2 linked regions of the Coturnix japonica genome follow. Each later gene encodes a partner of the first gene's protein in a complex. Links are inferred from orthologs where the notes say so. Each region holds a gene or a part of one and is shown in the gene's direction. Other genes may lie near its edges.

Region 1 (3,216 bases):
GATCACAGCTGTGCTCCATGGTAGGACAGGTCCCCAGGCCCCCTGCCCCATGCTTGTTCCCAGGGGAAGGAGAAGGGTTCTACCCTCCCCCCACCCCCTGCCACACTCAGCTCCTATCCCTCTCTCCTCCTCCTGTGGCACCCGATAGTTCACCATATGCATTTATCTCTTCTTTAGCAAACACTTCCTTTTCTTAGAAACAGGCTCTCCAAAACGTGCTTCTTGGAATTGCCTTTCCCCAAGCTGAGAGGCATGTACCAAAGAAAAGGGAGCACTGAGCGATGAGATGATGAGATGCCGTCCTGTCCCCTCTGCCCTGGGGGCCTCTCCCTGTGCCTCTTTTTCTCCCACCCTTATAGGAGGCTCTGGCTCAGAGGTGCCACCATCTGCATGGCCCCGGTACCTCTGTGGCCTCACTGGGTACATTGGGGACATCTCTGTGCCCCAGGAAGACCCTGAGGAGCAGGGATGGAAGCACTTGGTGCTTGGCTCAGTGGGACCAGCCTTAAGGAACACCTGAGCAATAAGACTTGTTTTTATAGGGGAAATACCTTGATGTGCACAGCATCTTTCCTCTGACCTGAGAGCAGCTGCAGCATTCAGTGCTTTGTGTGAATGGAGCAGGGGGCCCCTGTGCAGTGGGGCTGGTGGGGCTGTTCTGGGCAATGCTGTGTTTGCTGCCCTGTGTTTAGGCTCCCATCCTCCCATCCATCGCTGTCTGTTTCCACAGCCTTCCTCCTGACACTGCTGAGCAGAGCTGGGAGCAGCTGCTTTGGGCAGCACTTGCATGAACTGGTGGCTGTGGGCTGCTGGGTGGGAGAGCTGTGTGGCCAAGCAGGGGAAACAAGACAAGCTGCATGCCTTACAGTGCAGCACTTTGATGTGCAAGAGCTTGCTGTGCAATGCACACATGTGGCAAGGTGAAAGACCAGGCAGGAATGTTGTCCCAACCTTGGAACGCTATGGTGAGGCGTGACAGCAGCACAGAACCAGCCAGGCTTATCTCTGTTTTTCCAGAGCAGCTGCTTACTGGAACTGCATTCACTTATCAGGGAGCAGGGACCTTGCTGGGAAGATGGCTCAAGGTACAGCCCTGCCAGCCCCTGGCTGAGCTGCGGGAGGTCCCAAGGCAAGAGGGCTGCCTGCAGGCTCCTGCTCAGCTCTGATAAACCAGGGCAGTGAAGCTCCCTGCCTTGTCACTGTTGCAGGGCCCTGCACTCATCCCTGGTCTTGCAGGGGGATATCCAGGTTCTGGGTATTCTGCTTCCTCTTGGCTTTGCAGGATGAGTGGTGAGGGGCAGCAGCACGTTGCTGCACGGTGACATCTGCCCGGTTCTGGCTGTGGCTGGGGATGCAGAGCTGGAGAGGCTGGCTTGGCTGGGCCAGGCTGGAGCAGCTGCATTCCTGGGCTGGTGCTTGGCCACGCTCCCACAGCCTGGGGGAAGGCAGGGCTTCTTGTCCAGCTTTGCAGCAGCAACTTGCAGAACCCAAGTGCAAAATGCAGAGTGTTGCAAGGTGACCCAGGCAGGACAGGGGAGCAGAGACATCGTGATGCCCTGGACACAGTGATGCTTGCACTGGGACTATGGGCTGCAGCCTCAGCAGCAATGCAGCCTGACACTGGCTCAGTTTTTCTCCTGCAATGATCACGCTTCAATGCTAATTTTAGAGCTCTGTGGTGTTCTCCTTGCAAATCTTTCCTGGCATCGACTTCTCTTATGGCCAGTCCTGTGCTTCCCCCCCTGCCCTGCGTGCATCATTCAGAGCAAGGAAGCACACGGCGTCTGTCATCCGCTCTGTCCCCACCGGTGCTTTCCTGCCTGTGGGAGCCTGGCAGCCTTTCTGCTCCTTCCACCATCAGGGCAGTGAGGACCTGGCACTGCTGCCCAGAGACCTGCGTGTGCCCCATGGTTGGAGGATGGGGCCCTGGGCAGCCTGAGCTGGGGAGGGGGCAACCAACCCATGGCAGGGGGTTGGAACTGGATGAGCTGTCTGTGACCATTCTGTGATTCTCTGCTTCCCAGAATAACTCGGCCTTTTCTACAGAGAAAAAGGAGAGCCCGAAGCCACCACAACCTCCACTGGGGTTGGGGAAAATGGGCAGCAGAAGGGAGGGAGCCCTGTGAGGTGTGGGATTGAGGGCAGGCTGTTCTCCAGGCTGTTCTCACCCTGCTGCTCATTGCTGGCACTGCAGCCTCTCACCTCCCCCCTTCTCACCGCTCTCTTCTGCCTGCAGGAGCGCTTTGTGGACCTGTATGGGAATAATGCTGCTGCCGAGCTGAGGAAGGGCCAGGAGACCTTCAACAAATGGCTCCTGACCGGGGCGACCGTGGCCGGAGTTCTTCTGCTGGGATCCCTGCTGAGCCGCAAGTGATCCATGGTTGTGTCCCCCTGGCACCAGGATGGCTGCGCCTTCACCATCACATCCACTACGCAGCTCCCGAGCACCATCACCATCACGGGGCACTCACCCAGCTCCACGGAGCTTCCTTCCTCGCTCCTCCAGCTCCTTTTCTTGTAGCCCCTCTCATTTACCGTTCCGTTGTGTTTTAAAGGCGCTCAGAGCAATGCAGCACTTCAGCCAACAGCTCCCAGCGCTGGGCAGATCCCGGCGGGTGGGATGAATAGTGGCTAGAAGGTGTCCCAGCCCTGCAGGATCCTTTAGATCACTTTGAAAAAGAATAAACAGACTTATTTTTGCATGTGTGAGTGCGTGCGTGTGTGTAGATGTGTCACTAATATAAAGTTCCCCAGGCAGAGCAAGGATCTGGGCTCCAGCCTCAAGCAGGGCTCCCGCTACCAGCCCTGCCCTGCTGCAGCAGCCTGGCTGCCATGGGGACAGGGCTGAGCTTTGCCATCCCTGCCACGTCTCTTGATTGTCCCCTGCTCGCCTGGCACTGCAGTGAGGCAGAAAGCACCTGGGTGAAAGCTGATGGTGAGTAGCCCCAAACTTGCCCTGCAGCCCCAGAGTCTCTGTCCCCTGCACCTCCAGCAGGCACAGGGCTGTACCTCCTCCTCATAACCCCCCTCTTCCTCGTCCCCCTCCCTCTGCTCAGATTGCTGTGTGACACTGCATGTCCTCCTTTGTGCCCCATGTCCGTCCCTCCCCACACAACCCACGCCAGGACCCTGCTTTGCTGTTGGATTGGGGCCGGGATGGAGGCAGGGGAGTTAAGGAGCACTTCCCCATCCCGCAGACACACAGACAGGGTGGGG
Region 2 (4,138 bases), on another chromosome or scaffold:
AGGAGGGGAGTAAACTCTTCGAAAGGGCTGACAATAGCAGGACATGGGGAAATGGTTTTAAGTTAAAAGAGGGAAGATTTAGGTTGGATGTTAGGGGGAAGTTCTTCACTAGGAGAGTGGTTAGGTCCTGGAACAGGCTGCCCAGGGAGGTTGTGGATGCCCCGTCCTTGGAGGTGTTCAAGGCCAGGTTGGACGGGGCCCTGGGCAACCTGATCTAGTAAATGTGCATGTTTGGTGGCCCTGCCAGGCAGGGGGGTTGGAACTACATGATCCTTGAGGTCCCTTCCAACCCAGGTCATTCTGTGATTCTGTGATTCTGTACTGACGCCTTGTTTTATAAGAAGAACTACCTGGAGGCTGCGCTTTTCAGAGCTCTCATCATTATCCTGCTCTGTGGAGCTCTTGCCAACTAGTCCACACCTATTTAAAGCGCACTGCCAAAGCTGGAGTCAGCGCTCCAGAGAGATATAAGCAGCACTGCACAGATAACATCACCACTCACGCACTCCAGCATGGTGCATGGTAAACAGGTGCATTTAAACAAGTCAGATGAATGATTCTGCTTCTTTAGCTTAGGGGTCAGCTCAGAATCACAGAATCACAGAATGACCCGGGTTGGAAGGGACCTCAAGGATCATGTAGTTCCAACCCCCCTGCCTAGCAGGGCCACCAAACATACACATTTACTAGATCAGGTTGCCCAGGGCCCCATCCAACCTGGTCTTGAACACCTCCAAGGACGGGGCATCCACAACCTCCCTGGGCAGCCTGTTCCAGGGCCTAACCACTCTCCTAGTGAAGAACTTCCCCCTAACATCCAACCTAAATCTTCCCTCTTTTAACTTAAAACCATTTCCCCGTGTCCTGCTATTGTCAGCCCTTTCAAAGAGCTTACTCCCCTCCTGGGTGTAGGTTCCCTTCAGGTACTGAAAGGCTGCAATGAGGTCACCCCGCAACCTTCTCTTCTCTAGGCTGAACAAACCCAACTCCCTCAGCCTGTCCTCATAGGGGAGGTGCTCCAGCCCCCTGATCATCTTCCTGTCCCTCCTCTGGACCCTTTCCAAAATCTCCATGTCTTTTTTGTACTGAGGGCTCCACACCTGGACACAGTACAACAGATGGGGCCTCACAAGAGCCGAGTAGAGAGGGACAATCACCTCCCTATCCCTGCTGACCACCCCTCTCCTGATGGAGCTCAATGCACCCCTTACAGCGGTGTGGTACAAACAAGGGCACAGCTCCGCCCCTCACACACCGACTCCATGCTCTGAGGGCGCCCACCGGCCGCTCGGTGTCGCTGTGAAGGCGGCAGAGGCGTAGTGCTGGAAGGGCGCATGTGCGCTCGGTGACGCGGTGGTCCCGCCCGCTATATGAGCTCCGCCCGGCGCTGACTCGGCCCTTTCCGCCTCGCTCCCGCCCGCTCTCGGGTCGCAGAGCAGTGAGCCGAGCCGCCGCTCCCCCCGCCGCCCCGCACCGTCACCATGATCATCTACCGGGACTGCATCAGCCGTAAGAGCGGCCGAGGGGGGTTGGGGGGCTGCGATATGGGACGGAGGGAGGCGGGCGGAGGGCTGAGGGCTGAGGCCTGGGCCGGGCACGGAGCCCGGCGGGGCTGCGCATGTGCCATGCGGGGAGGAGGGGTGGATGGAGGGGGAGGGAATGCGGCGGAGCTGCGGGGGGGCCGGGCTCGGGATGGCGGAGGCTGACGAGGCGTTGGGCGCCTGTGTGTGCGTGTCCCTGCAGAGGACGAGATGTTCTCGGACATCTACAAGATCCGCGAGGTGGCGAACGGCCTGTGCCTGGAAGTGGAGGGGAAGGTGAGTGTGAGCCGCACGAGTCGAGGCGGCGGGGCAGGGTGGGAGAAGGGGAGAGGGTGGGGTAGAGCCGAGCTCGGGGAGCGTGGCTCTGAGGTAGTGCCCTGCCGACACGTAGGTGTGTAAGAGAAGCGAGGTGTGCGCACAGCCTTGAAGTTTTTTGATGTCTCTAAATCTAGATGGTCACCAGGACAGAGGGTCAAATTGATGACTCTCTAATTGGTGGCAATGCCTCTGCTGAAGGTCCTGAGGGAGATGGGACAGAAGCCACGGTGATAACTGGTGTGGATATAGTGATAAACCACCACCTCCAGGAAACCAGCTTCACAAAGGAGTCATACAAGAAGTACATCAAGGACTACATGAAAGCGTAAGTACTGGTGGGCTGCTCCCATATAAGGTTGCTTTTGTTCCTAGTGTTGCCAGCACTTAGAGTTGCCAGACTAGCTGTGAAACTCAGTGATGTCTGAATCTTTGGCAGATCTACAGAATCACAGAATTATCAAGGTTGGAAAAGACCTAGAAGATCATCTAGTCCAACCATTACCAATACTTCCTGGCTAAATCATATTCCTCAGCACAACATCCAAACATTCCTTGAACACTCCCATGGTTGGTGACTCCACCACCTCCCTGGGCAGTGCATTCCAATGCCTGACTACTCTTTCCGAAAAGTAATGCTTCCTAATGTCCAGCCTGAAGCTTTAAAGCATTGCTGTGGGGATATCTGTGCTTATCTTGGCTGAGGTGCTCAAGGTCAGGTTGGACGGGGCCCTGGGTGGCCTGATCCATGAGCCCTGCCCACTGCAGGGTTTGGAACTGGGTGGGCTTTGTGGTCCCTTCTGACCCAACGTGTTCTATGATTCTGAGAGCAGATTTGCTTCCAAAGGATGGATTCCTTTGCTCAAAGTGGGCTAGTGTTAAAGGTGAGAACGGTTCTTGTGATGCTGATGGAGGGTACTCTTGTTGCTGTATAAATGGCTTGCTAATTTTTGCCTAGCACAAACCTAGAAGTAAAATGAAACTGAGGGGTAGGCCCCATTCTGTTAATTCACCAGCATTCGTGGAGGGGTTGGGGATGGGGAATGCAACACAATCCAGCTGTGGCTGCTGGTAGCTCCCTACTATGATGCTGCTGCACTGTGTGTAGTGTGGAACGTGTTCTCAAAACTTGCTTTTTATTCCTAGAATCAAAGCCAGACTTGAGGAACACAAGCCGGAGAGAGTAAAGCCTTTTATGACAGGGGCTGCAGAACAAATCAAACACATCCTTGCCAACTTTAAAAACTACCAGGTTGGTTGTGTTTCTTTATAGCGTTGTTTCGGTAATACGGGCTGAGATTGTTTCTGCTTGTGGTTAGAGAGCTCCTACTGTAAAAATGACCCTCATTGAGTTTATTTGGAGCCTTGATAGTCAGGGAGAAGAAATACTAGAAAGACTTGCAGGTGTCTGGGGAGCTCATTACAAGCTTGAGGTACCGTGATAACTGCAAATGTAGCTGAAAGGAGCTGTGGTTACAGATGTTAAAGGTGAATTGTTTTGCCCCCTACTGTGTCTTATTTGACTGCTGACAGTAGTGTGGTAATGCTGCGTACTAAGATTCCTTCAGCTGTTGAGGGAACCTGTATAGATTTCACGTATAATATGTGCTGCTTGGTGGTAGTAGCTCACTGAGTGTCTCAGTAACGCATTTCCTTGAAGTTCTTTGTAGGAGAGAACATGAATCCAGATGGGATGGTGGCTCTCCTGGATTTCCGTGAGGATGGTGTGACCCCCTATATGATCTTCTTTAAGGATGGCTTAGAGATTGAGAAATGTGTAAGTACCAACATTGAACTGGGGTGAATGTACTTAAAAACATCAGTAGCTCTTTCCCTGCATTAATCTACCTCTGTTAATAAGTTGAATGCCAGTCTAAAAACTGTGTTTGCACAGTCTGATTGCTGCTTTGTGTTATGTAAAGTGGCTGGGGCTTCCGTTGGGCTATTGAGTCATACTAAAAGGGGATGTGGCTTCACTGCAGTGATTCATAGTGATGTAATGGATGAGTAATGCAGAAGGAATTGCCTCAGTGAAGTGTGTGTTAAATGGTAATGGTTTAGACTATGAAATGTATTCCATCTAGTTCAGGACCCACTTGTATGGGATAACTAACTCTGGAGTGCTGTACTTCACTGTATTTCTCTCTTTCACTTAATCTGCCTTTATTTAAATAGGCAGTTCTTGTGTAACTAAATACTGCCCTAAATATGGGAACATGGCAGCACCTTCCTTATGTACTTAACCTTTTTCTGTCTGGAAGTTCCAGCTGTCTGAGCCCAAG

What was found. Proteins that work in one complex are often made in the same cells at the same time.
Region 2: the proteins of BCL2L1 (region 1) and TPT1 are in contact, whole or in part, in a crystal structure (PDB 4Z9V), measured with the Homo sapiens proteins. The link is inferred for Coturnix japonica from reciprocal best matches to the Homo sapiens genes BCL2L1 and TPT1. Residues at the interface, in NP_001304848.1 of Homo sapiens: Ala93, Glu96, Phe97, Arg100, Tyr101, Ala104, Phe105, Leu108, Gln111, Ser122, Gln125, Val126, Glu129, Leu130, Asp133, Asn136, Gly138, Arg139, Val141, Ala142, Phe146, Leu194, Tyr195, Ala199, Ala200, Ser203; in NP_003286.1 of Homo sapiens: Phe14, Asp16, Ile17, Lys19, Ile20, Arg21, Ile23, Ala24, Asp25, Gly26, Leu27, Cys28, Leu29.

What each region holds. Positions count from the first base shown.
Region 1 is NC_029535.1:9,026,026-9,029,241, forward strand, and holds the end of BCL2L1 (bcl-2-like protein 1), read left to right. Parts: intron 1-2,236; coding exon 2,237-2,374; 3' UTR 2,375-2,706; downstream 2,707-3,216. UniProt on the Homo sapiens protein: Potent inhibitor of cell death. Inhibits activation of caspases. Appears to regulate cell death by blocking the voltage-dependent anion channel (VDAC) by binding to it and preventing the release of the caspase activator, CYC1, from the mitochondrial membrane.
Region 2 is NC_029516.1:150,168,591-150,172,728, reverse strand, and holds the start of TPT1 (translationally-controlled tumor protein), read left to right. Parts: upstream 1-1,332; 5' UTR 1,333-1,481; coding exon 1,482-1,509; intron 1,510-1,743; coding exon 1,744-1,817; intron 1,818-1,993; coding exon 1,994-2,184; intron 2,185-3,002; coding exon 3,003-3,108; intron 3,109-3,516; coding exon 3,517-3,633; intron 3,634-4,138. UniProt on the Homo sapiens protein: Involved in calcium binding and microtubule stabilization. Acts as a negative regulator of TSC22D1-mediated apoptosis, via interaction with and destabilization of TSC22D1 protein.